4 linked regions of the Ovis aries genome follow. The protein of the gene in region 4 interacts with the protein of the main gene of each other region in a pairwise test. Links are inferred from orthologs where the notes say so. Each region holds a gene or a part of one and is shown on either strand. Other genes may lie near its edges.

Region 1 (7,532 bases), on a different chromosome or scaffold from region 4:
TAAGCTCTGTCACAGAAATTAGTTCCTTGTAGGAAGGAAAGTTATGACCAACCTAGATAGCATATTCAAAAGCAGAGACATTACTTTGCCAACAAAGGTCCATCTAGTCAAGGCTATGGTTTTTCCAGTGGTCATGTATGGATGTGAGAGTTGGACTGTGAAGAGGGTGAGTGCCGAAGAATTGATGCTTTTGAACTGTGGTGTTGGAGAAGACTCTTGGACTGCAAGGAGATTCAACCAGTCCATTCTGAAGGAGATCAGCCCTGGGATTTCTTTGGAGGGAATGATGCTAAAGCTGAAACTCCAGTACTTTGGCCACCTCATGTGAAGAGTTGACTCATTGGAAAAGACCCTGATGCTGGGAGGGATTGGGGGCAGGAGGAGAAGGGGACGACAGAGGATGAGATGGCTGGATGGCATCATGGACTCGATGGACATGAGTTTGGGTAAACTCCAGGAGTTGGTGATGGACAGGAAAGCCTGGCATGCTGTGACTCAACTGAACTGAACTGAAGGCTTGCCTAGAGAATCCCATGGACAGAGGACCCTAGCAGGCTACACTCCATAGTGTCACAAAGAGTTGGACACGACTGAGCGACTAACACAGGCTTTTATATCTCTTCGATTTCAACGCACTGCCCAGATTTCCCCAAATTTTTATCTCCTTTCCCATAAGAAGTTTCTCCTTCTATACTCTCCCTTCCTCTTCCACTCTTTGTTTCTGATTTACCAAGAAAATTTTGACTGGTCTTGCCCATGTGTTAAGTACTAGAAAGGGAAAAGTGCAGAGCCAGATCTCTGATTCAGAAGGTGGAAAGAACAGTAAAAACTAGAGAAGGGCAGGGCTAAGAAAGCATCCTCATAGAGACCATCATTCTAGTGGTAGAATTATGGAAATAGGGGTAGAGCTAAACTGACAGTCACAAACTACTCTGCCTCTGACTGCCATGAAAGAAAGTGAAGTTGCTCAGTTGTGTCTGACTCTTTGCGACCCCATAGACTGTAGCCTACCAGGTTCCTCCGCCCATGGTATTTTCCAGGCAAGGATACTGGAGTGGGTTGCCATTTCCTTCTCCAGGGGATCTTCCCCACCTGGGGACTGAACCCAGGTCTCACGCATTGCGGGCAGACGTTTTACCATCTGAGCCACCAGGGAAGTCCTAACTTCCTGACTGCCATGACCTCATTATAAATCCTCATCTTGGCAGACAAGATGGTACAGCAGTGATCTCAGGACAATTGGAAGTGACAGATATAACCATGGAGAGGCTTGTTGCTCCTGCTATTGCATTCCTAGCTCATGAAACCAGACAGCAGATGTAAGCCAGAAAAGGGATAGTAGAAGCTACAGGGGAGTTGAGGGGCCATAGCCAGGCAGCGATGCACAGGAGCTGGCAAATACTGTTTTCAGAGGACCGCAAGGGGAGAGTAGTATGAGGACTGGGGATGATCTTTTACATCCATCATCTTTTATCAGCTTTCCTAGCTCAGAAAGTTTTCTGAGGATAAAACCAAGCCCTGTCTGGCTCCCAAGACCACATGCTGCCCCGGGCCAGGGTCCATGTTTTGCTAAGTGACTGCCATAGGCTTACGAGGTGGGGCCCCTACAAACAGGGGCCCTGAGACTTTAAATCTTATAAGCTCTCTTCTGAGAGTGATTATCAATAGTCAGGACCTAACAGTGTGGGTATAAGGCAGGCTCAGAGCCAGTCATGCCTCTGTCACTGACTGATCGTGCAGACTTTGGGCAAATGGCTTAAACTTCTTAAACGTCGATTTCTTCATCTGCAAAGTGGAACTGTGAGGTTTAAATGGCAGAATGCAAACAGCCTACAACCTAGCACGTAATAAGGACTTGATAAGTATCATCATCATTATTACTATATGCTTGACTATCCATTGTTTCCGTGTTACTTGAGTTGAAAACGTTTGTGAATGAGAGGAGGACAAATATCCGGTTAGGAGCTGGAAAAAAAAATTCCAGTCATTGGTTTCAAATGACCAGCACCAGCCTTGGAACTTTAGTCACTACTGACTCTCACTTCTAAAAGCCATTGGAAAAGTACCACCCCCCATGCGGACTCCACCTCATTCTCCGCAGGTTCTTACTTCTTAGAAAAGGAGTATGATTTTCTAACTCAAAACCTGAGATATATGTCCTGACAAGTACTCTTAAGTCTACAAGAGGACAATGGTATGGAATACTTCAGTCTGGTTCTAGTTTAATCATGCTAGAAAATGAGCCCAGTCAAAGGGGACACTAAGGCAATAAAAGGACTTACTCAGTGGCTCTCTCTCCACAGCTCCAAGATGGCTGACACCTATTTCCACAAGACACTCGCTGGGTGAAGACAGTGCTCTTAGCATGCTACTTAATAGGAGAGCTTAGTGATAAAGAACCAGTATACCTTTGCAGGAGATATGGGTTCCATCCCTCGGTGGAATATCCCCTGGAGAAGGAAGTGGCAACACACTCCAGTATTCTTGCCTGGGAAATCTCATGGACCGAGGAGCCTGCCCGGCTACAGTCGATGGGGTCACAAGAGTTGGACATGACTTAGGGATTAAAACAACACCAATCAAGAGTAAGAGTAATAAGTATTATCAGCCATTGACATCTTGAGGAGAACTATTATCAAGATCCCCTAAAAGGACTCCGAATAACAGCTTAGGGGAATGTGGCAAGGACAGCAAGGAACAAGAAGTGATTTGTAAATTGGTATGATACCTGAATGTGATGCCACCCGGACCCCTGATACGCAGAAATGGAGACGGGAAATTAATCAAGTGACGGAGGGAGTTGGTAGCGGTTTTGATTCCTAATTTTATCTAAGTCTGGTTTTGCCCCTGTGAATTTCAGGGCCTCGAGGTCTGACGTCACCTCCAGGTAGCCTCCCACCAGCCTGGGGTCCGGGGATGGCAGGAATGCAGCGGGTGAGGACCAAGAGCTGTGACTGCATCTTTTTCTCGAAATCCCCCCAGGGGCCCAGAGTTGGATGCTCCCCTACGGGCTCATCACGTGTGCAGCCCAAGCAGTGCAAACCCAGCAGAGGTCTGTGGTCCCCGGGCGCTAGGGTGGTTTTTAGGGTTTTCTTTCTTTATGATTTCCCTTCTTGTTCTCCACAGTTGATGATTTTCTGCAGAAAAACGGCTGAGAAAAAGAACCTATTTCATTTCCAGTTCCCATCACTGCGATTTCCACATGGATGTGACGTTCAGTCCAGCTTCCGAAATGCCCAGTTGACTCACGCGGGGACACCCCGGGGCGGGGCGCAGGAGTTTCTCTGGCAGCGCGGCGGGGCGGGGCGGCGGGGCGGGGTCGGGGCGGGGCGGAGTGCATCTGGCTTCCCGCTCCTGCTGCGCCTCCTGCGCCCCCTAGCGGCGATATCAGGGCTGCGGGAGTCTGGGGCTCGTGTCACGTGACTGGAAAGTCCCTGGGTGGAAATCCCCGCTGTCCGCGGGCGGTAAAACAGAAAGGGAAAAAAGAGAACTGGCAGTCGGCAGCCTTCGCGGCGGCCAAGTGCGACAAGCTAGGAGGCCTTGGGGGCGGAGCGGCGAGAGCAGCCGCCGGGAAGACTGAGGTGGCAGCAGCAAAGGAGATCTACAGCCCCCGGCCGGCCCGCCGGAGAACTAGACCGAACCAGGCGTCCATGGGGAGCCGCCTCCACCCGGCCCCGACCCGAATTGCGACCCCAGTCTGCGGTGCATGCTTGTCCTGACCTGGACTTGGGATTTCTGAAGAGGATCGCGCGGCCCGAAGAGGTAACCCCGCGTCCCTGTGCCTTCTGCCACGGGCTCTCCCGGGACAAGGGCTGCGGGTGCGAATTTGGCAGCGACCCGCGGGCTGGCCCCGTCGACTTGGCCTGGTTTTGCCGCTGTCCCAGAGGGAAGTTTGTTGGCCGTTTGTGACCCCCGTAGGTTCTGAGCTGCTGAGAGTGCAGGTGGCCGCCAGATGTTCGGGTGACAGCCTGTATTCTAGGATCCAGCCAACTGTTCCTTGCAGCTCATGCAGAGAACTTGAACGGCAGTTGCTTGGGGGAGAGTCGCCCCCCGGAGCCGCTTGGTCCGGGTGGTCATCGGTGCTTTGCTCTTCGGCTTGTCCCTTTTGGAGTCGAGCTCTGCATGCTTACGGCCACGTAGACCTTGCAGAACCGCCTGGCCTCTTTCCAGACTGTGCAGCACCGGTCCAGAGGGGTGGGATGTCGCAGCGGCAGCAAAATCTAGGGGGCGGGGGGCCCGGTCAGCTCTCCTTTCCGGGAGGGCTTGCAGACACTCAGAGGGCAGCAGTGTCAGAGAAGTATGCATGGAGCAGGAGGTCGTCCGCCTGCCTTGGGGGGTGACTCCAGTTTAGAGCATCTGCAAGCCCCTACCCCCAAGTCAGACTGTCTTTGTCAGCCGGGGTCGTCCCACATCCTGCCACCTGGCCTTTCAGGAAAGCCGCGGTATTAAGTAAGGAAGGAGCGCAACTCTTGTTGAGACCGCTTTGTTTTCAGTTCTCCCTGCCTCTGATCTTTCCTCGGAAAGCCACGCTGGTCAACTCTTTCAGGGCAGCCTTTTGGGAGAACCAGTGTTTGAGTCCTCTGGACCAGAGCCCCAATGTCCCAGATTATTAAGCAGCCAGTTACTGCTTCATTCTTGTGTCCTAAGGTGCTGCTTTATTTTTTGTTTTCAATTCTTTGTACAATTTTTGACTTTTTGAAGTAGTACTTTCTGAAAATTTAATATCTGTTGGTAGGCCAATGAGGTATCAGAAACATGAAAGAAATGTTATAGGTGATATTGTCTTTGCGAATAAGGACATTACATTCATAGCTCAGAAATTCTTTACCACAAGTCAGATTATTCTTTAATCTCAAGTGTGGAGAAGTCTAAGTCCTGGACACTTAGGCAATGGGCATTGATTTCTTTTAAGGAGGCAATGCTGCAGGCCATTCAAGGCTACACCAATGAATGAGGTGACACTGGGCTGTCAGATATTGACATTTGCATGTCTTGCCTGTGGTTCTAGCGCTCACTGTTTGAAAGATCTTAGGTGCAGAAGAGAATAACAGAAGAGTCAGAAAAGCAAAAAGAGGCTACACCTAGTTTGTTTCGGATCTTCTTGCCTGTCTCCATGTGAGAGCAGCAGGTACTGCAGCCACAGGTGTGGTGTTGTGAGATTAACAAGGAGGTGGGTTTGGAAGACAGGACTTTTAGGCAAAGCCCTGCCCTTGGATGGTGTGGGAGCTACCTGAGCAGGACCAGTACTGCAGGTGCTGTAGCTGGAGACTATGATAGTCATGTGACTTCATGCTGGGGAATAATGTTATCTTTGATCTTTTGCCTCAGCACCAAGCTGATGGTCAGGCAGTAGAAGTATGTGGTCAGGCCATGCTTGCTGAGTGATGGATGGACAAATGAATGACATCATGAAAGAGGCTTTTGCCATGCCACCAAGGGGGAGCGTGTGTGATGTTTTTATCCCTTAGTTGTGTCTGTGGCCTTGCCATGCTTTTGCCCAATTCCACCTGCAAGGAATGTCTGACGTCAAAAAGGAGAGATTACCATTTGACCCAGAGAATGACTTCTTCCAGGCATCATCTAGCCAGCAGATTAGGAAACCTGATCTAAATCTACCACCAGAAGACTCCTCAGAAGGAACCTTGGAGTCATCTAGTCCACCTGTCTCCCTGGAGTGGGCCATGAGAATTTAGACCATTTTATCAATGTCTTTAAGAAAGCTGAGACCTACCCCAGACAGGCTTTCTTGTAAGAGGGAGGTTTCTTCTCCCTCTTAACTTGGTTTAACTTCTTTGTCATCTAGAGTCTTGCCCTGGAAAACAGTATGCTAAAGGACTGGGATTAACGATCACAGTGAAACTTCCTAGAGGCTCAGTTCGTGCTCTGAAACTGTCTTTGTCCTCATCTTGGAAATTTGGATGGATGGCAGGGCACTCTGCTCAGGGTCAGTGAATGTCAGCTGGCTCTCCACAAAGAGATGAGCTGTAAAGTCCCACGTTAAATCTATTCACATCTTCCTATGCTATTGTCATGGATTGGAGATGCTGGGGTTATCCCCCTCCTCTTTCATTTGTTCCGAGTGGCCCCCTCTGGCTGCAACTTCTTTCCTTGTCTGCTTCCAAACTTTTATTTCTTTCCACTGGTTGATTGTGCTTGAAGATTTCAGGATGAAGACAGGGTGAGAAATCAATCTGAGTATTGGTAGCTGGAAGATGATGATAAAATGGGGTTGGCTGTTGAGTTTAAGTAGTACAGTTAATTCCATCATTGCATAGAATTATTCTATGCTTTTACTATCTGCCCTTGGAAGTATAGGATTTATTATTCTAGTATTGTTATTATTCTAATTCTTCTTCTGATGTTGTAAAGTTCAGTGAAGAGGTTCTGAGAGACTGCTAACTGTTTGCTCTTAAAATTGGAAAGCATCCTTGCTGGGAGTAGACTTTTTTGTTGGTTATAAAACATTCAGTTTAACTCTCTATGTAAATATGTAAATAGCATTTTATAAGTAAATGCTTTATAAATGTTCCTTTTGGGGACTATAGAGAAAACTCCAATCGACAGCCTACATAGCAGCATAAAATTGCAGGATTTCTCACAAAATATTTGTTGTCTTTCCAGTATAGGGAGGGAGTGCTTGAAAGAGGTAAATCAAGACATGGACTAAAAAGAAGGGTTGCTTGGTGGTGCTCTTAGAAGAGGAGCTGGCTTGTCAGGGCTACATTGTGCCTATAACCAGCATTCAGGGCACCTCAAATCCAGTGTTTGCCCCCAGAACAGCATCAGGATGAGACAGGAGTTTCAGTCGGTTAGAAGGCACCATACCTGTTGCTGACAGACAAGCTTGGCTCCCTGACAAACGTTACTGAAAACACGGGTTATTCCCCTCCTCCTCATTGCCCACTCCTTCTCTTGTTTAGACTAATCTTTAAAAATGATGTAACTTAAAACTGTCCAGTGTGAGTTCATCTTTGGGGCCAGCTAGTATCCTGGGAGTAGAGGTGACTAAGATCTTTTGCCTGCTGCTCAGGGTAATGACAAGATCAGACAGTGGGGTTTCCTGCAGGCAGGTATATAGGAGTCATATCAAAGTCAGACTAACAGCGTGGGGTTTTCTTTCCCTCCTCTTCAGGTATTGGAGAGCACCATGGCTGAGCAACTCCTTCCTCTGGCCTTGTATTTGAGCAATATGCGGAAAGCTGTGAAGATACGAGAGAGAACACCAGCAGATATTTTTAAACCTACCAATGGAATCATTCACCATTTTAAATCCATGCACCGATACACTCTGGAAATGTTCAGAACTTGCCAGTTTTGTCCACAGTTTCGGGAGATCATCCACAATGCTCTCATTGACAGAAACATCCAGGCTTCCCTGGAAAGCCAGAAGAAGCTCAACTGGTGTCGAGAAGTCAGGAGGCTTGTGGCCCTGAAAACAAATGGTAAGATGTGCTTTTGTCTAGGCGTTGAGGTGGCTCCTACCATGCTGCGTCCCTATTTATTAAAAGGCACCGGGCCCAAATCAAATCTCT
Region 2 (7,711 bases), on a different chromosome or scaffold from region 4:
CTATTCCTTGTTCCTTCCTTGAGTGGTGGACTAAGCCTTATCTCTCTCCACTTTGCAGAGGTTTCACTTTCACTGGCTGAAAAGGGAGAGTCTGACTGAAGTGCACATTTCTCTGACTCTGCTGCCTTCCTAGGTGCAGAATGGACAATCTCTTAGAGCCAATGGATTCCACCCCTTTGGATGACTGGCTCCAGGCCCTGGAACCCTCAGAGAATCAGGATGAAGAGTAGGAGGGAGCCCAGGTAGTATCCTCTGCTGAAACCCACTGGAGCAGGGTCAGAGATGGGGTCTAGCCCAGGAGGTCACAATTATGATAGGGTTCAAGGTAGTAGCCCAAGAACAAAAGAAGGAAAATGGAACAACAGGGGGAAAAATATGGAGAATGTGAGTTAAAAAAAAAAACACCCTGAACCAAAAGCGGGATAAAGAGATCTAGTTGTTAGAAATGGGGAAGAGGCTGGGCTGCACTGGGGACACTGTTTTATACTTGATGAAATGGGTGTCAATCACTTAGCTTTAGTAAGCATGATATTTTATTATTAAATAAAAAGGGAGATTTACCTAGTGGTGAGGACCAAGGGCTTTAGAGTCCCAGATAGCTTTTTAATATGACCGTTGTCCACCACATGGGTAGCTACGTAACCTCTCTTGCTGTTTCATCTGTCAAACAAGGAAATTTTCTCTCATTTGATGATTGTAAACAAAAATGAGAATACATATTTAAAGTATGCAGCACGGTGCCTGGCACATAAGCGCTTCATAGCAGCAATTACTGGAAATCGTTTCCTCTACAACTCATGGTCCCTGCCCCTTCTTTTGCCAAGGAGAAATGTGCAGGGCAAACAAATGTGCAGTGTATCTATCACAACCCCCTCCTCTGCGTATTTTCTTGATAAATACTTCACTTTTCCTTTACTCTTCTTTTTGCAGATTTGGTCACTCCTGCTTCCTGCCTTCCCTATCTTTCTGAGGAAGATCCCCACCATTGGCTCTACCTTTGAGCTGGTCACGATTACTTATCTGTCCCAGACTTCAGTGGTGCATGAAATATTTAGGGAAAACGTGTCTTTCAGGGGACTTCTTGCTGAATGTAATAGTGAAGATTACTTGCAGTACTTCTACTTTCCAATTGATTAAAAATCTAAAACTCTGTCCCACAAAAAGATCATAATACGAAGGCATTGTTTAAAACCTCTCCTTTTCCCATGTTTTACCCTCTGTCTAAACCTTCTTTGATAGCTGATACTCAAATTTACTTAAGAGCCAGAAACCACCTAGCTGTTTCACAGCCTCTTCACCTATCAACTGCTACATTCAGTCTCTTCAAAAAGGACTTAAACTTTGGCTGAGTAGGAGGTACTGGTAGCGATGGAGACTTAATAAAAGGTGATTTTCTCTTCCTGAAGAGGAAATATAGCACTATCAATATCTTTTCCCCCAGCGACCTGTTTCCTCCCTCCCAGAAAGGTTTAAAGAAAGTGGTCCAGCTTTTTGTCCGACATCTTAGCGAGGCGGCAGTGGTTGCAGCTGCTCTCCGGGCTTCGCTATGCCGCCCAAGGACGACAAGAAGAAGAAAGATGCCGGAAAGTCGGCCAAGAAAGACAAAGATCCAGTGAACAAATCTGGGGGCAAGGCCAAAAAGAAGAAGTGGTCCAAAGGCAAAGTTCGGGACAAGCTCAATAACCTAGTCTTGTTTGACAAAGCAACATATGACAAACTCTGTAAAGAAGTTCCCAACTATAAACTTATAACTCCAGCTGTGGTCTCTGAGAGACTGAAGATTCGTGGTTCCCTGGCCAGAGCAGCCCTTCAGGAACTCCTTAGTAAAGGACTTATTAAACTGGTTTCAAAGCACAGAGCTCAAGTGATTTACACCAGAAACACCAAGGGTGGAGATGCCCCAGCTGCTGGTGAAGATGCATGAACAGGTCCCACCAGCTGTACATTTTGAAAAATAAAACTTTATTAAATCAAAAAAAAAAAAAAAGAAAGTGGTCCAGCTGTAACCACCGTACTTTCCCTTCTCCCCCCTCCCCCACGCAAGCAACTGAACCGCCTATGATGTCATAATCACAATCCCATTACCTCATCCTGCTGGGGGTGGGGGCATAAAGAGAGGAGAAGGAGTGAACAGCCCTGGGCCCTCGTCGGATTTACAGTATTTTGAGTGACAGCTAACTACACAAACAAGTGGGAACGGCCCGCAACCGTTACAGGTCCTGGGTTTATAAGGTTCGAGCCGATCCGGCAGCTGGAAGAGGGGCTCCTGGGACTCAGAGCAGGCCCTAATCGGAGCTTGGACTACGCCTCCCAGAAGCCTTCACGACGCGGACGGGTCCTCTGCTGGGGGAAGGGGAATTCCTTCAGAGCGGAGGCCTTAGAGAGTGGGGGCAGGAGAACAGGTGAGAGGAACCCTGGCTAATTCCATTACGCTGCCGGAATCGAGTTGGGGGCTGTACATGGGCTGATGTAGTAACAGAGGGCGGGAGCAATGGCTTTGTTTACCTTCGACCAACACGGCCTCCCCCGCGAGTTTCGAGATTTGCGTTCGACTGGCCCAGTCCACCTTCCGCAATATTCTGTAGGGGGTGACTTCCTAGGGAGGAAACCACCCTCATCGCTAAATTAAAAAGCCCGGCCTCTTTCCGACGGCGCTATCCAAGAGAGACTTTGCGAGAAAAACGACGCGGGGCTCAAGCCTCCGCGGACGGTTCAGGGGGGGTTCTCCCAACCCGAGCGATCGCTCCACTCTCCTCAGGGACCCGTTGGTTCACGCCGGCGCCTTTTAAGGGCACCGTGGGGCGAACCGAGCGCTCAGAGCTGCTCCGGCCGCGGCCCTGGGAACTGGAGGAGCCGCGGTAGGTGGCGGAGGGCAGGTGGCGCTGGGGCCTCGGGGCGGGCACCTAGACCGTCCCTCCCTCCTTCCCTCTTTCCCCTCCCCCAGCCCGTCCGCCCGCGAGGCAGGGCCTCGCTGGCCGCCTCCGCGGGGAGAGCACGGGACCCGGTGGGGGAGGGGGTGGCGGAGTGTTAAGTCCCAGACCCTCTCGTCCCCTGTGTCCTGAGTTCGCTTCCCCGCGGCCAGATGATGGGAGCTGATTGGGAACAGGCGAGCGACAGCCCCCCTGAGCGTGCCGTGGCGCCCTCCCCCCCCACCCCAAGGGGCTAGCGGACGCCCCATGCCCCACCCCGCGGGGACGGGCAGAGCAACCGATGGAGAGGTTGAAGATTGGAGAGGGGGGCCTAGCCTTTTGCTTCTTCATTGGGGTGGGGGGAGGGGTGCTCCCACTTGTCACTCCTATGCCCACCGGTGCCATATGGAGAAAAAGCACTCAGGTCCCCACATACCTGTTCGTGTGCCTCTCTGCCTCATGTTTTTCTTCAGTCTCCCCCAGAGTGTGGGACTGGGACCTAGGGGGAAGGTCTCCAGGGGCTTTTGACTCTCTTCTTCCTTGGCCTGACTTGATCCTAGGTTATCCAGGTTTCAGCACAACCTCAGCATCCCTGAAACCCTTATGTCAGGGGTTACTGCCACCCAGTGGGGTGGGGGTCCAACCTTTATTTGAGGGACAGGTGATGGTGCAGAGAAAGCCTGGATTGAGAGTTGGGCCTGGTGGGGTTTGAGGGAGGGCCTAGCGGCCTGCTGCTCTGTGTTGGGCTTAGCCCCATGCCAGTTGTTAAGCTGAGAAGTTTTAACTTGTTTAGTGAACGTTCAGGGCTGTCTGTGCCCCTCAGATACACAAAATGGAAGGGGAAGGAAGACGGCAAGAGAGGGCTTCTTACTCTTTTTTCTCTGCCTGCCTGAGAAAGAGGAGGCCCCTCGCGGAGCTGGTTTGCCTTCTTTTGTGTCCTGGTTTGATTCCTTATGGCTTCCGTTCTGTTCCCCCTCTCAGCCTGGCCTGTTTTAGGAAACTCAGACTGAAAGTATCAGTTGCGTGGTGGTAGTTGCATTGTTCTAATTACCGCCGTGTGTGGCCACATCCCAACAATTAAAATGCAGAAAAACACAAAATCACTCTCTTGATCCCAGAGAGGGCTGGAAGTTTGCTATTTGGCCAAATGCCTCATGAAAACCTTGAAAGAGTTTGCTTCATTCCGTGCTCCTCATGGCTGGTCAGCCTGAGGCCTGGGGTCTCTGGGGGTAAAAGCCTGCCTTAGGTTTCCTCTCTGGTTGGTCTTTGAGGGCAGAGTTAAGAAACCAAGAGCAGAAGTGATACAAGCTTTAGCTTCTACAAGAATGGGGGAAGCAGCCGAAGGGAGCGCTCAAGAGCGCTCAGGAAACTGGGACTTCAGGGTGGTAATAATAATTATGCATGAAAACATTATTTGACTATAGTGGTGGTTGACTTCTGCCTCTTTTTTGCCTAAACTCCAAGTACATCGAAGTGTGTTTCTTTGCTTTTCCTTGTGGTCTGCCTCCCTCTGAGGTGGAAATCTAGTAGAGAGGATTTCCCCCCCTCCACCTTTTTTTTTGGCCAGGGTTGAAAGTTATCTGCCCTCAAGGTCAAGCCTTTTGGGCTTTTCTTGGCATGTGAGTGAGGGAGGTTGATACTCAGCCAAATAAATCAACCCAATTGCCTTCTTCATCTTAATATTATCACTTGTAGCACCCTGAGGCTTTGTAGAGCAACAAATAGGAAGGGTGAGAAATGGCAGTCTGTGTGGACTTCTGATTTGTTCAGGCCAAGTGGTATACTTCTTATGTTTTGATATTTTGCATTACATTATCCCTGTGACAGATTAAGATTATTCTGCCCGTTTTTCATATGGGTAAACTGAGGGAAAGAAAAGTTTGATGATTTGCCAAGACCATCACAGCAAATCGGATCCAGATTTGATGTCTTGATAGTTTGTTCTCTCTGCTAGCAAATGCTACTTACTCTGTCTGATTGCTGTCTGCCTGCTGGTCATTTCTGGGAATAGGCAGAACAGTATGGAAATGTTAGATTAACTTCCCCTCCTCCGTTGATTGAGGTCCCTCAGGCAATTGTGTGGGCTTGAAGCCTGTTTTCTGATAGAATTAGTTTGCTTCTACTGTAATTGACCGTGAGAAAGAGTCTTGATTAATTGTATTCATGGTCTTTGAGTCAAATCAGGCTAAAAACTTAGTTGAATGAAGTTAGAGTTGTTGTTTTTAACACCTATAGAGTTGAAATGTGAATGGAATTACCCTGGTAGCATTTTCTTGTCTTCATATAAGAGAATATGTACAGTATCTGTTGGAGAACAATAATGTAATATCCGCTGTTGAGGGTGAAGGAGAATATAATACCTTGTTTACTCTGCTTTGAAGTAGAAAGTCATTCCTACAGCCACTGCACTGTTGCTATTTCTGTAGTTTAGGAAAAGGCTACCTCTCCTTGCTTTTGACTGGAAGATAAAATATTGGACTAATCAAGAAGGATATAACAATGTGGGCATTTCTCTCATTTGAGCTGTTTTCTAAGTGGTGCTGGTATTTTGGGTAGGCAGAGCAGAGCATGAACCAGGTTAGGAGTGGCAAATAGGTTTCAACTTGCTTGCTAACTCCATTTTATTATACTGGTTATCCGGAGTGCCAAGTTGAGACTGTTTCCGAGGCTATGTTTAGGCTTAGCCGGAAAGAGCTGTGATCAGTTAATGATGTGTGCCAGAGGCCTGACATAGGGATGCTGGGGTATGTGTGCCATGCATTTTCCATCTCTGGAGTAGGTACATCTCTAATATCACTTGGGGCTGATCCATCTGTAATTGGCAGACTCAGCAGGCATGACTGGAAAGGGAAGTCCCAATGGTGCTAGAATGGTGCTGCAGTGGCAGAAGACAGCTCATGAGTGAGGTCTGGAAGAACAACAGGGAAGACATCCATCATTTGCTCCAAAGTGTGCAAGTCAAATCCTGGGGAGAATCATGATAACCCTGATCACTGAGCAGCTACAGAAGCAGACTCTGGATGAGCTGAAATGCACACGCTTCAGCATCAGTCTGGTAAAAGACAGTCTTCCCACTTCTCTAAGACCCCCTTGCCCTTTTTTCTGAGGCTATTTGTTGTTACTACTTCACCCTTGTCCTGCGTTGTATGAATCATGGTACTTGTACTGGATGTGCCCGCTAAAGGCTCAAAACCTAGCCCAAAAGGAAGGGGGCAAGGTTTTTCTTACTGTTAAGAGAAGGGCCACTAAAATTTGGGTGGAGAAGGGTTTGAGATACTGGAAGATGTGAATTATTTTACTCACTAACTTTGGGAGGATAAGAAGAGAACACTTAGATGTCCCTAATATCCCTATAGCCCATGAATTGCAGGGGTGAGCTGAAGGGGCTTCCTGGAACTCTGTCCTGATCTTGAATCATGATGGATATTCTGTGTCTCTTAGCCTTTGCCTGATCATGCAGACATCTCCAACTGTGGGAACCCTTTCCAGCTTGTGTCTGGTAAGACATGATGTGTTTATGTGTGTGTATGCCCATGCCTCCATCCACGTTTCTTTTATTGGTTTTCCATAACCAGGTCTAGCTAGCCTGCCTCCACAATTTTCTTAAATAGGAAAAGTGTTAATCTGAAAAAAGTGCCCCTTCCTTTTCTATCTACCGAGCTTCTATCACCTCCCTAAAAGTAATTCCTTTTATTAGTTTCTTGTCTATTCAACCAGAGTTTTTGTTTTTGTTTTTTCACAAATAGAATCAAATAAAAATGTAAATTTTTTTTATTCACACTCTTTTAATACAAAAGGTTGGATTCTGTATATTTGGAACTTTCTTTTTAAACTAATCATAATAAAACTAGAAGATCTTTCCATGTAAGTATGTTGAGCGTTTCCTTGTGGGTGGCCAGACCCAGAGGAACACAAGCACCATCAAAGGCCTTTCCCACTGTACCCTCCCCACCCTTGCCTTCACTAAGAATACAGATGATCTCTTACCTGCTTGATCACCCTGTCTTGGTGCTTTGACACATAGGAAAGGTAAAGGCTAAGGACGGAGAGTGTAGGCCAGCTTTCCGCAACTCAGGGCTTGGGGGTTGGGGGAGCAAAGTAGAGCTTGGTGGAGTGGAGTGAAAGATGAGCGTGGCACACACACCTTTGCTTCTCTTGACTCATTCTACCTTTGACACGGATTCACAGGCAGTTTATGATTCTATATTTTTAGTTTCAGGTGGTTCCTCGTAATGGAGGCACTATAGTCTGCTGGGTAAAAGATCTAGCTTTAGCATCGGACAAATCTGGTTCTGAACCCTGCTTTGGTCATTTGATTCCTGCATAACTGTTGGCAAGTTACGGAACTTCTCTCATCTGTGAAATCGGGGTAGTGATAGTACCTAACTCATGAAGTTTAGGGGAAACCTCACATAAAGCTCACTATGTTTTGTAGCACATAGTAAGCTCTTGAAAATATATTAGCTATCATTAATTCTGTCTTTATTATGAATGCCTTCCAGAAGGTGCTTCCTGGAGGGGCCTGCCCCACTGTTCCTGTGCCGAGTTCCAGGATAGCCTCAACCTCAGCTACCACCCCTCAGGCTTGAGCCTGCACCTCAGACCACCCAGCCCAGGAAGTTCCCCACAGGAGCAGTCCCTCTCCCAAGTCCTAAGCCCTGAGCCCCCAGACCCAGAAAAGCTTCCTGTGCCCCCTGCCCCTCCATCTAAGAGGCACTGCCGCTCACTCTCAGTGCCCGTGGACCTGTCTCGCTGGCAGCCAGTGTGGCGGCCCGCCCCCTCCAAGCTGTGGACTCCCATCA
Region 3 (6,911 bases), on a different chromosome or scaffold from region 4:
GGGCAGAGGAACATAAAATGCTAGGTTTGGTAAACACAGCAAACACAGACAGCATGGTGACTGTAATAATTAATACCATATTATTAACATATATTTAAAGGTTAAGAGAGTAAACTTTAAAAGTTCTCAGCACAAGAAAAAAAATTGTGCTGTGTATGGCGACAGCAGTAACTGGATTTACGGGGGGGTTTATATTCACAACATATACAAAATATGAAATTATGATATTGTACCCTGAAAATAATATACATCAATTATACCTCAATAAGAATTTCAGAAAAATAAATAAAACCAGGAACACAGGTACAACTTGGATACAAAGTCAGCAGACCAGGTGCTGGCATCTTTGGGAGGCCACTTGTCATTTTCCTATCAGTAAAAGTGTTAACTTTTCTCAAGACAATTTTGGACTGGCTTCAAGCACAATTAAAATGATGCTTCAGTTCCGAAAATGAACAGTTAGTCTTGACAGTAAGGACAGACTGAGAACTTCAGAGAGAAATGATAAGAATCTGACTCCCTCAATAGGGCTAAGATATGTGGTCAAATAGGGCTTCCCAGGTAAAGAATCCACCTGCCAATGCAGGAGACACAGATTCGATCTCTGGGTTGGGAAGATCCCCCGGAGGAGGGCATGGCAACCCACTCCAGTATTCTTGCCTGGAGAATCCCATGGGCAGAGGAGCCTGGCAGGACACGGTCCAGGAGTTTGTGAAGAGTTGGACACAACTGAGCAACGTAACACAATAAATGTGGTCAAATATATTAATAATTTTCTGGAAAAAAAAATTTAATGAAGGGTGTTTTTTTTTTTAAAGTTGGGAAGTGAGGGACGAAGTGCCAGTGGATACACTCAGGAGTTAGGTGGGCAGCTGGCAACAGAAAGTCTGATTCTTAGTCCCCAGCACTCGAGGAGCTCGATGTGAATCAGCCACGGGAACACATAGGGCCCTGCAGACCGGCCTCCTTATCTGCTCAGCTCTGGTGCTAATGCAAGACAGAGGTGTCTCTCCGGTAGAATTAAAAGGCTCCAGAAGCACTGGGTTTTCAACAGAGCCTCCCTTCTAACAGAAAAACAAAAATGGTGAAAACGAGGTTCTGTGATACTCGCTGTACTTTTCCAGGCTTCCATAGGCAATCCAACGTTTATCTACACGTAGTTTGTTCACCATCTCTCTGTACTTTTTATCCTGGAAAAAAGACAGGCGCTCTCTATCCTGCAGATGAATGAGGCCTTTGATGTCATGCAAATGTTAGCTCTGGGCCAAATGCGTCTGATCCTGAAAGTATTACACGTAGAGAATTAGAGATTTAAATGCATTGACCATTTTTATTTTGCTATGCGGAAACATACATTCACCAGGGGCTGTGCGATGCAGTTGACAGTGAAATGGAGAATATATCTTCTTGAAGGCTATTTATAACTCAATGCTAAATAGTTTAATTACAGTGGAAATTCTGTACAGTTTAAGGCTTGGCTCTGAACTAGATTGTAAATATGGACCAGATTTGGAAATAAAACACTTTTTTCAAGTAAAAAAAGAAAATTAAAAAAAAAAATACAAGGAAGGAGAAATGAAGAAAGGAAACAAAAGCAACTGAAGCCCAACGAGTTTTCCTGGAGTGAAGTTTCATCATTATGGTAAACTAACAAAAATACAGGTTTTCTTTCCAAAATAATGACATTTTACATATTTAGGACTTGTCAGGGTACCCTGGGAAGCTTTCCAGATTGAACACGGACCAAAGCAGATGACAGGGAAGAAATCACATTAATATGCTAAAATCAGTACTACCTTATAACGAATTAAATTAGATTACACAAAGCAGGATTGTGAGCATTAAATATTTCCGGAGAGTCATTACCATTAATGGGTGAGAGTAATAAACCAGAGGAAACAAATAACAAGATTCAAGTTGTTTACTGAATAAACTCGGTTATTGGCACATCTAATCTGGGAAAAACCTGACACAGTGGACCTAGACAGCTTCTAGCAGTTGAGGGTAATCTTTGTTGATCTGTAAACAAAAGATTTGCCACCTAAGAAACTGCAATTTTGTTTAGACTTTAATCATCATCAGCTATGAAAGGCATGGACTGCTGTATGTGTTACATGAGATCACGGTTTGTATTGTTGGTTATGAACGTGCAGGTGGAGCCGAAAACGGAGACACGGTGTGAAAAGTAAAAATGCTGCTCTTTTTGTAACTGTATCGTTGCTTCATGCAATATCGGTTTAGTGGTGCTGATTCAGATTGCTTTATTATGGGAAGATCTCTCTGCCAGTGTCTTTATCAAATGGTCAAAGTCAGTTCTTCTGGATTGAAATTGTCCATGGGCAGATACAAGTCAGTGGGTTAGAAGAGGGAACGCCATATAGACTCTGTTTTTTCCTAATGGTTTGCATAACTGGCTTCGTGTGCAGCCTAGGTTATTCCTGTAGAAGAGAGATTTGATCAGTTACTCATTTGAAAATACATGAGAGTTTCCCTCAGACTGAAGTCAGGTGGCAAGTATCTCACAAGGTTATTAAATGCTCTTCTGGACAAGATACTGTAAAACACCAGTGTATGTCATGGACAGGCTTCTTCTGAAATAACCTCATCATTACCCAAGTTGCTGACTGCACTGAAAAGAAACTTTTTCTTTTTTTGCTTTCCTTCTTAACTTGAATATGATGAGTGATTTTTACATTCTTCCTTTGAGAGAGGCTACTTATCAATCTAGGTTTCTAAACCAATGTTAGAGAACTAACTTCCTTTACACAGGTAGAGCATTTAAAAGATTTTTATTACATAACCAAGTGTGCAAGGAGCTGCATTCAGCATTCAAAGCCCTCCAAGCATGTTCAGTGTTCATCAAGTTCTTGCAGGTGGGTTAGTATGCATAACAAGTCTGAGGACACACAGGAGATGCTGTCTGCTTATGATGCTGGCCAAACAGCAGCTGGAAAGGCATGCGTTTCCTGAAGGAAAGCAGGACCACAAGACTGCATTTTTGCCTCCTCCTGAGACACAGTGCTACACTCTGGGGAAAAAAAAAAACCATCCCAAAGTACATAGGAAAATAGATGACATCCACAGTGAGAGTGAGTGGTTTGGTTTCAAATTGTAAAACGAAGCAAAACAAAAGCATAAACAGGCCAGAACCAAACACAGTTGACGAGGAAGCTAACAATGGGATAATGCTGGCATTAGAATGGGCATCATTTTATTTCCCTAGTGTTTGGAACACACAAATTGCACCTCTCAGAACAAAACCATATTAGAGCTGATTAGGCTACATGGCCAGTGAAATCCAACAAACACGACCTTTCAGACCTGGCTAATGAGAGGAGCATGGACTGAAAGGGAAGACGTGCAGGACCATGCAAGCAGTCTCTGCTTTCTCTTTATCCTCTAACTGGCAGGGGGGACATCAAAAGTCCATAGCATGGAGCCTGTTAAATCTCAAACAAACCAGTATCCACACACCAATTCTCCATCCTCTTGATATCCAGCCCTGCAAATGCCAGTGAGAGAAAAAGGAGAAAAGGAGGAGGTGAGGGGAGGGAGAGAGGGAGGCCCCGGGCCACATGCCAGCCAAGGCCAAGCCTGGAGAAGCAGCACCCACCTCTTACCTGGGCTCAGTCTTCTCCATCCTCCGGGCTGATCTCTGTCTCTTTATGGACCACTACTTTGGTCACTGACATGTCAGGATGCTGCTCTTTGGCCTCTTTAATTGCCTGAGCCAGCGCCTATCCCCGGGAAATCACAGGAGGGCAGAGACAAAAAGGAGGTGGAACATGCATGGTCAGAGCAAGGAGGAGACTCATGAGCTAGATCTATCTACACAACTCACAAATGGAGTACAACGACTGCCAAGGGGCTTATACTTTGTGTGCTGGAAAGTTAATTCTGAAAACTGACTACAGGCTGGACTAGGAGGATGGCTCTGGGCAAAGTAGGGCCAGCCGGTCTTTCTCGAGGTTCCCTGCCAGGGTATCCACCCTCTCTCACGAGATACCTGGTCATGGTCAATGTCCGCGTCTCCAGTGATGACGATTCGCTTCTCAATCCTCGTCTCTGAAATGCCTCCTTTCACAGTCTGAAAGCAACAGACAAGTGTTACGACGTTACCGTCCCTGTTGACTGGGGGAAATGGTAGAAAATGCTGACTCGGCTTTAAGTAGCTTCATTCATTCTTTAAAAGTGGACATGGACTCCTATGGCAGTTATTTACAACTGTTAGTTTCAGAAGCAAAGACAGAATAGATCCCTTTGGGTTTGGCTGGCTGGTGTTTCTGAAACGTCTGTCATATGCGAAGCAATGGAGCTAAGTGCTACGCCAAGGGTGTTGAATGCATGTTCCTAAGCAGAACTCGGCAGGTGAGGATGGAGGCATCATAAACAGCAGCTGTGAGAGCTCCAAGGCAGTGCTTGGCATCCTGGTATTCATGCAGGTGCCTGCAGGTGCAGCGCAACCTGGGGGTTCTGCACGGACACCTCCCTGGATCTGTTCCCAGTCCACTTACTTTGGTGATGTGGGTGGTGGTCGTGGTGCTGGTGGTTTCAGATGTGATGGTCTGCGCGCTCATGAGCACACCTGGCTCCAAGTCAGCACCAAGATCGACCTAAGCAAGCCAAGTGGGAGACACGACACATTATCTCTCCAGGATGCCCGCTCTGTTGCTTGAGGGCATGGTGATGACTTAGTTATCTGCACAATCACTGTGCTTCCCTGATAGCCCTGAGAGCTGCCACTGACTCTAGACTGGACCAAACATGGCCGCTGTGAACTATCATTAAAACCAGGACTTCAAAAGATAAAAATATAAGAAAATCCTTGTTGGGAGGTCTCTGGTGGTCTAGCAGTTAGGATTAGATGCTTTTATTGCAGTGGTCCAGCTTCAATCATTGGAAGAAGAACTGAGATCCTACAAGCTGTGCTGCGTGGCCAAATTAAAAGTGAAAAAAAAAAAAATTCTACCCAACCAATCCTAAAGAAATCAACCCTGAATAGTCACTGGAAGGACTGATGCTGAAGCTGAAGCTCCAATACTTTGGCCACCTGATGCAAAGAGCTGACGCATTGGAAAAGACCCCGATGCTGGGAAAGATTGAAGGCAGGAGAAAAAGGGGACGACAGAGGATGAAATAGTTGGATGACATCACTGATTCAACAGATGTTGAGTCTGAGCAAACTCCAGGAGAGAGTCGACAGTGAAGGACAGGGAAGCCTGGTGTGCTGCAGTCCATGGGGTTGCAGAGTTGGACACAACTTAGCAACTGAACCACCACCACCACCGCCTTATTTATGAGATTTATGTGGGATGTTTGTAGAGTATGTGGTACATAATAGGCTTACTAAATGGTCACTATTGTTAAAAACAACAAAAACACAAAAAAGCATGACTTCAGAAGTGTAAGCAGGGGCCGGTGGAACTAGTGCTTTTCCTTATCTAAACAGTGAGGGAGATGAGATTTCTGAGCCTCTTCCTACATTTTGGCTTCCCTCATAGCTCAGTTGGTAAAGAATCCGCCTATAACGCAGGAGACCCTGGTTCGATTCCTGGGTCGGGAAGATCTGCTGGAGAAGGGATAGGCTATCGACTCCAGTATTCTTGGGCTTCCCTTGTGGCTCAGCTGGTAAAGAATCCACCTGCAATGTGGGGAGACCTGGGTTCAATCCCTGGGTTGGAAACATCCCCTGGAGAAGGGAAAGGCTACTCAACTCCAGTATTCTTGCCTGGAGAATCCCATGGACAGAGGAGCCTGGCAGGTTACAACCCATGGGGCTACAAAGAGTTGGACATGACTGAGTAACACTTTCACTAATTACACTCAGGTGCACGAAGGCATGCACGGGGTGAAACAGGTGCCAGGGCTCTGGGCTTCTTAGACTCTTACCTGTGCTGATTCATACGTTATGGTTTTTGTTTCTGTGTGAACTACCGGCACTTCCTTGGTAGAAATTTCTAGCTTTACTTCTCCTGGTGAAACGCTGCCAAAGCTGATGGTTTCTGTCTTCACAGTTGAAGACTACACCAACGGGAAGGAGGCAGAGTGGTTCTTAAATTTTGCACAGACACATATATTTTCCCCCTCCCCTCTTGGTGGCTATATAAGCACAGGTTAGTATGAAATAAATGTTTATGTTTTACATGGGGGTAAGTTGGGGAATGAGGCATACAACAGATATATGTGAGTTTCCCAGAATTCATATGGAATGTTCCAGGTAAAGGAAAACATTTTGAAGGAAATTGAAAAAACACCCACATTTTTATATTCCCTCTCTTCTATCTCAAGAACTAATTTTAATAGATTGAAAACCATAAATTAGCCTTTTATTCCATAACTTCTTAGAGAAAAGGAGCAAGTAATAAGACATTGAACCACCCCTGCCTACATATACTTCTGAGATCTCAGTAAAAGAAAACAAAGAATAAACTCTAGCACTTGGTGCCTGGGCAAGCCTGGCTGTGGCCCTTCTGGATAAGTACACTGATCGGAAATAGATCTATCAAGTTTTCTAATATCTTGGCTGGCCATGCATCTCCCAGGTTTACTGCCAATTACAGTAATTACAACAGTAAGAATTATTTCCTGGAACTGTAGATTATTAATCATCATTATCTATGTTTGCATGTGATCCCAAAGATGGAAACCAGCACGGAGACCCACAGTTGCCATGCAAGAAGGCAGTTAAGAGGAGAAACAAACTGCTCTTGGAAAAGGAAGAAAATTATCAACACGTAGCCCCGCCTTTACACTTAACTAAATTTTAGGGACTTGCTTTAGTGCTACAAGGAATATTAACTATTAGTTACCTCAAAATGAGGTTTTTGTTCCAAAGTTTCTGAAACGTGGACGGCTGCACTCTGCTCCTCCTCTGGCTCACAGGAAACAGTGGCCATTTCGTCCTGCTCCAC
Region 4 (7,397 bases):
GAACTTTTAAAATGGAAATACAAACCAAGCCAAAAGAAGTGCCCCCTCCTTTTTTTTTTTCAGTTTAGGCTGAAAAGGTTCAGATGTTAGAAAACAAAGACAAAGGGATACTGATTACCACTGGCTGAGAGTACTTCATTACTGACACATTCCTGAATCAGTAATCATGTGCTGAAATCCAGCCAGCTATGGCCAACCATGGTCACTTTTTAAAAATATCATTTTTCCCTTTTCTAGAGTGCTACTGAATAGTACACTTGAAAAGGGTTAGTTTATGCCCTGTGACTGTTACCTCAACAAAAAAGACTCAAATCATTTTCTCCACTCTTTTTGGTAATTTAACTAGAGTTTGGTTTAATAAATAAATAAGGCTTCCTCCAAGTACCAGAAGATGAAATCCTCCCAGGGTCTGCAGTTAATCTAATGAACTGTAATGAAGATGCACATTGAGCAACATCTTTTATCTCGATTAAAAAAAAACCCATATGAAATTGTTTAAATAATTAGAAGAGGCACTTAGCAGTCATTTAAGTTATCGGGAAGGTGAACACAAAAAGCCAACTGTTATCTGTATTCTTCCACTCCAAAGAGAACAATTGAAGCCACATGACTTCGATTATAATAATGGCTGGCAGAACTCCACAAAGAGGCTACAGAGGTGTCATTACTCCATTAGTGATAATGGCTATTGATCTAGCCTCCTGGAAGAGCTAGCAGAAAAAAACAGAATATTTAACATAGTTAAAAAAAATTTTTTTTAAGTATATAGATTCTGCTAGGAAGGCATTTTTACATAATTAGGATAGACTTTTGCCACTAATGCCCCTCTGCCGCCAACACACCATAAAATGTTTATCCCAGTAACTTCAACATTAGTTGCCTAGAACCTTTTCTCCCCAGCCCCTCCCAAGGCAAATACAAGTAGCTCAAGAGGCTGTTAAAATCCAAAGGACAAGTCAGTATTGTCTAACAAGTAGGAAATATCTAGGTGATCGCTTCTTTTTAGATACAAGCCTACACGTGTCTGAAAAGACTAAACTTCCTTCTTTCCTCTTTTTCAAAATACGTATTATTTCTATCTTGGTTGCACACCTATAACTATCACAGGTCCCGTTTATTACTAGGGTACCTTCACTAGATAGGAATAAATTTCACCACTCTAGCATCTGGATGAGTTCAACCTTAGAACTCACTTTAGTGGTAGGACTGAGTATTTTCTATCTTCCTGTATTTTCCAAATTCTGTGGTGACTTATATAAACAAAGAAACAAGGCTTAGTTACCTTTTTAAAGCATCTACATTTTTTATTTAATCCTCACAACTGTTTCAAGTAGGTGTTGACCCATTTTACAGATGAGAAAAGGAAGGTCAGACGTAAGACCAATTCCTCAAAATCACAGTGAACAGATTTGCTTGGAAAAATGTCTGCTTTATTTTATAAAACTGTTTTCCTTCCTCCATACTCCATTAAGGAGCATAAGCATAGCAAGAGAAGCTTTCCAAATCTCAAGCTGGTGTCTGTAGCAGATTCTCATTCCCTAACGTTTACTGAAAATGTCCCAGTAGGAAGTCATAATCTTTTTTAAGGTTTCTATTAAAACTTGCCAAGTTAATAATCTGCAATAAACCCACATATACCCCTACACTATGAGTATAAAACATATTCTTGTTTTAAAATTTTCCATCTCTAGTCCTTCAATGCCCAAGGTTATTATTGAGATGAATGTTTAAAAACATGACTGTATCTTATAAACTTTCAAGAAAATTGGAAATAGGAAAGGTGAACAGGCATATCCAGAGATCCCTGGTGTGCCTGTGTCAGGATAAAGGACATTCTTCTTTGGGGGACCAATTCTCCTCTGGCGGAAGAGGAAGTGCTCAATTCCACCTGGCTTATCTGCTAATTTCTGCATTACCCTGGACAAATGCCATTTGCATACTCCCTACCAGCCCTGAGGTGCATTGCAGCCTCTGTGTCATTGTGTGTGACATCACTGGGTTGCTATGGATATAGGTGCGAGGTCACTCGCTTTCCTGTGAAACTAGAAATATGGAAAAATTAGAAGAGTCTAAATAACGCGATAAATGATATTGATATCCACTGAAGTGCAACTTATCATTTGCACCTTATAAAGACAGCGACTGTGACAGTATATTAATACAGCAGTACTCCCAATTTCAGAACCAATCCTCTTCCTTAATGAGATAATCTTCTCTGCTAATGTAGCTGGTTTAAATGTAAAGGCATCAGCCTTGTCATCTCCTGTGAACCAGTAGAGTTATTCGAGAATTAATTAATCTGTAATGCCTATACCGCCTCATTAAAGAGGTTTCATGTGCAAGGTACACTCCTGTATCCGCTGCACACTGGAGATGCATTTTAAAACCTTTGTTACATAAGGCAGGAAGTTAGATATTAAAATAGTGAGACTGAAATCATTAGATATATATGTTTCATTTAGTAATGCTCAATATGTCCCCCTCTAATATCAAACCGGTTGACCGCCCATCAGATAAATGTAGCATTACTGACAAAGTGGTGCAATACAGGCAGGAATCTGCAAAATGCGACAACTGGAGATCAGTATTCTCTTTTCATCAGCATTGAAGATGCGCTAGCTTTTTTTTTTTTAAGCTTCAGATGTGTCTAACAAAACAAATTAAAACAAAAAAAAAAGACTTTTTCCCCTTTAAAATAACTCCTCCCCAGCCTCCACCCAGTCTAGGCTCTCTGCAATATGACAAATGCAGAATCTTCTGGAATGACTTGATACTGCCTCCCACCACCGCTTTGTTTGCAATATCAGATCAGAGAGAATATTTTTTTCAACTTAAAGGAATTTCAACAGATGTGTGCCTGTATTTAAAAAAGAAACAGCATATGTCACAAATTGAACCAGTCGGCTAAATTCACAACCTTTATTTTAGAGACAATACCTACCCTTTCAGTACGAGCACAGTAAGAAAAAAAATGGAGATGACATATTGAGAACAATCAATGAAAACGCTAGCGAGACAAACGTGCCCCCCTTCCTAAAGGCAAGAAGAGGGCTTGCTTTGGGGAATGGAGAGAGGGGAGCCTTTTGTTAAGAAAAACGTGAGCATGGAGGTTTCGATTTTGCACCATTGAGTCCAGATTTTCAGGAGACCCTTCATTTTTTCTCGAGGAGGTTCTAAAGGATCTGTCTGCAGAAGGTAGTGGGAACATTTGGGGAGTGGGGTGGGTGGGCGGGGGGGGGGGGGTATTAGAAAACCCGGAGACCTGCTGAGTGAATGGGAAAGGCGCCGCCCAGACATCAGGGAGAAAAGAGGAACCGCATCCATGCGGTCCCCCGCCCCCACACGCCCAGGCTGTGGGAGGAGGGGGAAGTGGGGCACAAAGGATGCGCACGGCCCCCCGCTCAGGTCCCCAAGCCGACCCGAAGGCGCGGCGGCCAGAGACCCCGCTCCCGAGACCGGCCCCGAAAAGACCCCGCCCCAGCCTGGGCGCGCGGGGAGGGCCGAGGCGGCCGGGCCGCCGGCCCTAGGGGACGCTCGGGGAGAGGCCGCGTCACACACCTGGTCCTCAGCGTTGTCGGGACCCTCCCCGGCCCCCTCAGGGGCATCCAGACCTGCAGTCGCCGACGGGCGACTAGTCCCCGGGCAGAGCCCGCGAAGGCCCGCGGCCGCGAAGGGGCTGGGGCGAGGCGGAGGGGGAGGGGAGGGGAGGGGAAACTCACGTTCTTCATGGCAGCGGCCATGTCGTCGTAGCGCTCCGCCTGCTCCGCCAGCCGGGCTTTCTGCACCAGTTGCTCGCGGTCCACCATCTTCACGGGCTGGGTCGGGCCGGACGAGGATGATCCGGGACGGCCTGGAGGGCTCGGAGGGCGGCTGCGACGCGGCTGGAGCCCGTGTGCTGGAGGGACCGACCCACACGAGACGTGAGCGGCTCGAGGCGACGGGCGCGGAGGCTGCGACTCGAGCTGCGACCGCGGGACCGGGCGCGAGGCGGCTGCGGCGGCTGTGCGTGCGGCGGGCGGACAACCCCCTGCGGCCCCGCCCACGCCGCGTGACGCAGACGGCCCCGCCCACCAGCCCGCGCAAGGCCCCCGCCCCGGCCCCGCCCCGGCCCCTTCCGCTTCTCGGGTTTCCGCTCCCCGGCTCAGCTCGCTACCGCCTCCCGGGTATCCCCTTCTTCCCCGGTGCCCCTCGACAAGCCCCGTGCTTCACTTCATCCGGCTCGCTGCGCCCTAGCTTCTCCAGACGGTCCCCCACCCACCCTGGACCTGCAGACCCCAACCCTGCCAGGCCCCCGACTCGTGGGCCCCTGGGAGTTGTAGTTCTCCCTGGGATGGGGTAATATGTTGGGGAGATCAAGGACAAAGGGGCGGTCAAGACTACATCTCCCAGTGGTCATAGCGGGACAGATGAAGGAGGATTGAGGAGGTGGTGTGGGGCGGGTTGGGGAGGTCTAATTCCGCGGCTACTGGGGACCCCTGGCGGGGACTAAGGCTGCCCGAGTCCGAGCGAGTGCTGATTCACGGCCCCGCCCCATATTCTCCGGGAAATTACTGGGGGAGGGGGGCCAGGACCTCAGCCCTAGACCTTGTTTCCGAGATAAAACAGCAGGCCCCCGGGAGACTGGGAAGATGGGACGCATTCACTACTGATCCAAACTGTCTGGGTGGTACTCACCTCAGAGATGGTTGAATTAAAAGAGCCAAACCTTGGGGGGACTGCCACCCTCCCCCACAAGGTTCCGTCTCTCCTTCCCCGCCTCGAGGTTCTTGGACCTGACAGGTGGAAATGTGGAAAGACAAATACTGGCCAGGCATTCTGGTTAATACACGGAAAGGATGCAGCTGTTTGCAGCCTGACCCCTGGGGAGCCCTTTCTTCCTCTCCAGGGTGGAGCGTTACCAGAGCCAATGGATGCTTACCACTGAGTTCTGTCTGGGGGTTGACCAACACTTCTCTCCCCGCGTAGGATATACACGATGGGGTCAGGCTGACTAATTCTTGCTTACATGCTTCCCTTTTTTGACATTCCATGTAGCTCACATACCCCAAAGTTTTGAGTGCACATTTTATTTATTTGGTACTTATCTACTGAGCACCTGCTATGTTCCAAGCACTGTTCTAAGCAATGCGGTACACCAGTGATCAACAACACAAAATTCTGCCCAAGAAAATAGGCTAAATAATGTGTAGAGTACGTTAGAAAATTATAACTAGTTAAAAAAAATTAATGGGCACGAAGTGTTGTGTATGAGAACTGAGAAAGAGGGAATTTCTGTGAAGGAATAGTCCAGGCTCTATGCTGAGCACTGGAGGAAGATAGCATGGAACCCTGCCCTCAAAGAATTCAGAATGTGTTAAGCACTGTTGTTTTGTTTTTTAATTCTTTCATGCTAGATAGAAAAAGGTTTTTTCTGTTGTTGTTTGGTGGGTTGTTTTTTTTTTTTTTGGCCTGCTCCTAGGCAGCTTCCCAACCATGGATTGAACCCAGGCCCTGCACAGCAAGAGAACAGTCCTAACCATTGGACCCCCCAAGGAATTCCCAGGAAGAGGTTCTGAAGAGCTGGAAATATTTCCAACCCACTCCCTTAAAGATGTATAGGATTTAAAATAAATTAATTAATTAACGTGAAATGAAAAGCAAAAGAAAAAAAAAACTTTTTAAGAAAAGGAAAAGATCTGTAGAATTTGAAAGCAGGCAGAAGGGACAAGCAGGGGACTCAGAGGCAGATTCCTCCCTGACATATGTATTGTTAGACAGAGAATCCAGTGTGTTTGGTGCCTGAAGAGATGGGTAGTAGGGACTGGGGATGGAATTTGGGGAGTTCCAGAACTTGGGGAGCCCTGAATGGCAGGGCAGGGAATGAAGTCTTTCTTCCCAAATAAATAGAATACCTGTGAGAGATTTTAACCAGGGCAGGAAATGACCAGACTTGCATTTGGTTTCCATTGTCGTTGCTTCCCAGTGCTGAGTACAGCGCCTGGCACAGCATCCGTATGTAGAATGTGTGAAATGAAGAAATGAATGAACACGCGTGTGTTCAGGGAGACTCCTCTGGCAGGAGTGGAGGAGATGGCCTGACTGAGAAGAGCCTAGAAATAGCTCTCTTCACCCCTCCTCCAACATGGGATCTGGTCCCTCCTCTCCTACTACACTACCCAGCAACATGCAATCCTGCTGGTGAATAAACCCTCCCACTTCCTTCTGTCTCTTACGTGCCTGTTTGCCAAGTCCTTCCTCTTCTTTTCTCTTCCTCCCTGCAGGACAGGCCTCAGTCTTTCTGGCCTGGGCATCCCAGGTCTGTGAGAAGGAACCATTACAGCCAACCCTGCTTGTCCGCAGGTGGATTAAATGATTCAGGACCAGTGATTCAGGACCCAGAAGCTACATCTCGGGAACTTTCTGGCACATTTCAGGCTGCCTTTCTCCACCTCACTTCTTTCCCTGACTAGTTCAATGGAAAGGGGGGAAAAAAAAATCCAGGCCAAATCTGTTTGGGGAAAAAGTAAAGCTAATGCAAAGAAAAGGATGTTCTAAAGGGAAACAGGAAGGCTATCAGCAGTCTCCGTGTTGAGACCCATCTCTGATGGCCCTGCCTTCCTTTCCCTTTCAATTCTTTTTAAGACTCTAGGCTTACTGCTGCAGCTGCCCAGTGGCCCCAGCTGCTTAGAGGGCTGCTTTACAGGCATAGTGACATGACATAGAGCAAATGGCTTGGTATTCTGGTTTCCTCCTCCACTCTGTGTGGTACTGATGAAAGAAACGTGGAGCAAGGAGGTGGAGAACTAGCCGTTCTGCCTTCTGCCTGGCCCTCCGCTCTATGTGCAAGACCTGTGTTCTCTCTGGTTCTTAATTTCCTCACCTTTGAAGTGAGAAATTAAACTCAACGTTCCACCCAGCCATGGTGAGTTCTAGATTAGAGTCGGCCTGTTCCTCATCTGAAATGGAAGGCTATTCACAGTCTTTAGCTGTGGAAACAAGGAATCTGTCTACAGACCTGGGAGCTGGTTCAGTGCCAGAGCTGAGAGGCTCAGAGTCATCTTTGTTTTTTATTTTATTTTTAAATACTTTCTGGCTGTGCGGCATGTGAGATCTTCGTTCCCGGCCAGGGATCAAACCCATACCCTGAACAGAAGCAGCCCAGAGTCTTAACCGTTGGACCACCAGGGAAGTCCCCATCTTGGTGTTTTTAGACCTGGAAGCTGAGACACAGAGATCTCAGCTGTATGACTGGCCAATGGCCACACATCAGCGACCCCTAGAGCCTGAATTCAAACCCAGGCAGATCTTCTGGACTTCAGGCGGTAAGGGCACCCTTTCCTGCCCAAACCCTTGAGAGTCTCCCTCTCGGGAAAGGAGGAGCCTTGGCCTCTGGGGACCAACTTGACACAGGGGCACTG

What was found.
Region 1: the proteins of YWHAG (region 4) and TNFAIP3 interact in binary tests that used the Homo sapiens proteins (3 or more experiments, as listed by UniProt). The link is inferred for Ovis aries from reciprocal best matches to the Homo sapiens genes YWHAG and TNFAIP3.
Region 2: the proteins of YWHAG (region 4) and FAM53C interact in binary tests that used the Homo sapiens proteins (3 or more experiments, as listed by UniProt). The link is inferred for Ovis aries from reciprocal best matches to the Homo sapiens genes YWHAG and FAM53C.
Region 3: the proteins of YWHAG (region 4) and EPB41L3 interact in binary tests that used the Homo sapiens proteins (3 or more experiments, as listed by UniProt). The link is inferred for Ovis aries from reciprocal best matches to the Homo sapiens genes YWHAG and EPB41L3.

The regions. Positions count from the first base shown.
Region 1 is NC_056061.1:63,021,989-63,029,520, forward strand, and holds the start of TNFAIP3 (tumor necrosis factor alpha-induced protein 3), read left to right. Parts: upstream 1-3,495; 5' UTR 3,496-3,762; intron 3,763-7,132; 5' UTR 7,133-7,147; coding exon 7,148-7,442; intron 7,443-7,532. UniProt on the Homo sapiens protein: Ubiquitin-editing enzyme that contains both ubiquitin ligase and deubiquitinase activities.
Region 2 is NC_056058.1:47,405,415-47,413,125, forward strand, and holds the start of FAM53C (protein FAM53C), read left to right. Parts: upstream 1-2,816; 5' UTR 2,817-2,858; intron 2,859-5,734; 5' UTR 5,735-5,886; coding exon 5,887-5,964; exon of another isoform or gene 5,965-6,350; coding exon 6,351-6,408; exon of another isoform or gene 6,409-7,411; coding exon 7,412-7,711. Other genes in the region: oocyte-specific histone RNA stem-loop-binding protein 2-like, read left to right, coding at 134-230; small ribosomal subunit protein eS25, read left to right, coding at 1,547-1,924.
Region 3 is NC_056076.1:39,339,570-39,346,480, forward strand, and holds the end of EPB41L3 (band 4.1-like protein 3), read right to left. Parts: coding exon 6,810-6,911; intron 6,022-6,809; coding exon 5,890-6,021; intron 4,614-5,889; coding exon 4,515-4,613; intron 4,088-4,514; coding exon 3,812-4,087; 3' UTR 3,738-3,811; coding exon of another isoform or gene 3,627-3,737; 3' UTR 2,439-3,626; coding exon of another isoform or gene 2,433-2,438; 3' UTR 1,311-2,432; downstream 1-1,310. UniProt on the Homo sapiens protein: Tumor suppressor that inhibits cell proliferation and promotes apoptosis. Modulates the activity of protein arginine N-methyltransferases, including PRMT3 and PRMT5.
Region 4 is NC_056077.1:34,831,350-34,838,746, forward strand, and holds the start of YWHAG (14-3-3 protein gamma), read right to left. Parts: upstream 3,996-7,397; 5' UTR 3,807-3,995; coding exon 3,720-3,806; intron 1-3,719. UniProt on the Homo sapiens protein: Adapter protein implicated in the regulation of a large spectrum of both general and specialized signaling pathways. Binds to a large number of partners, usually by recognition of a phosphoserine or phosphothreonine motif.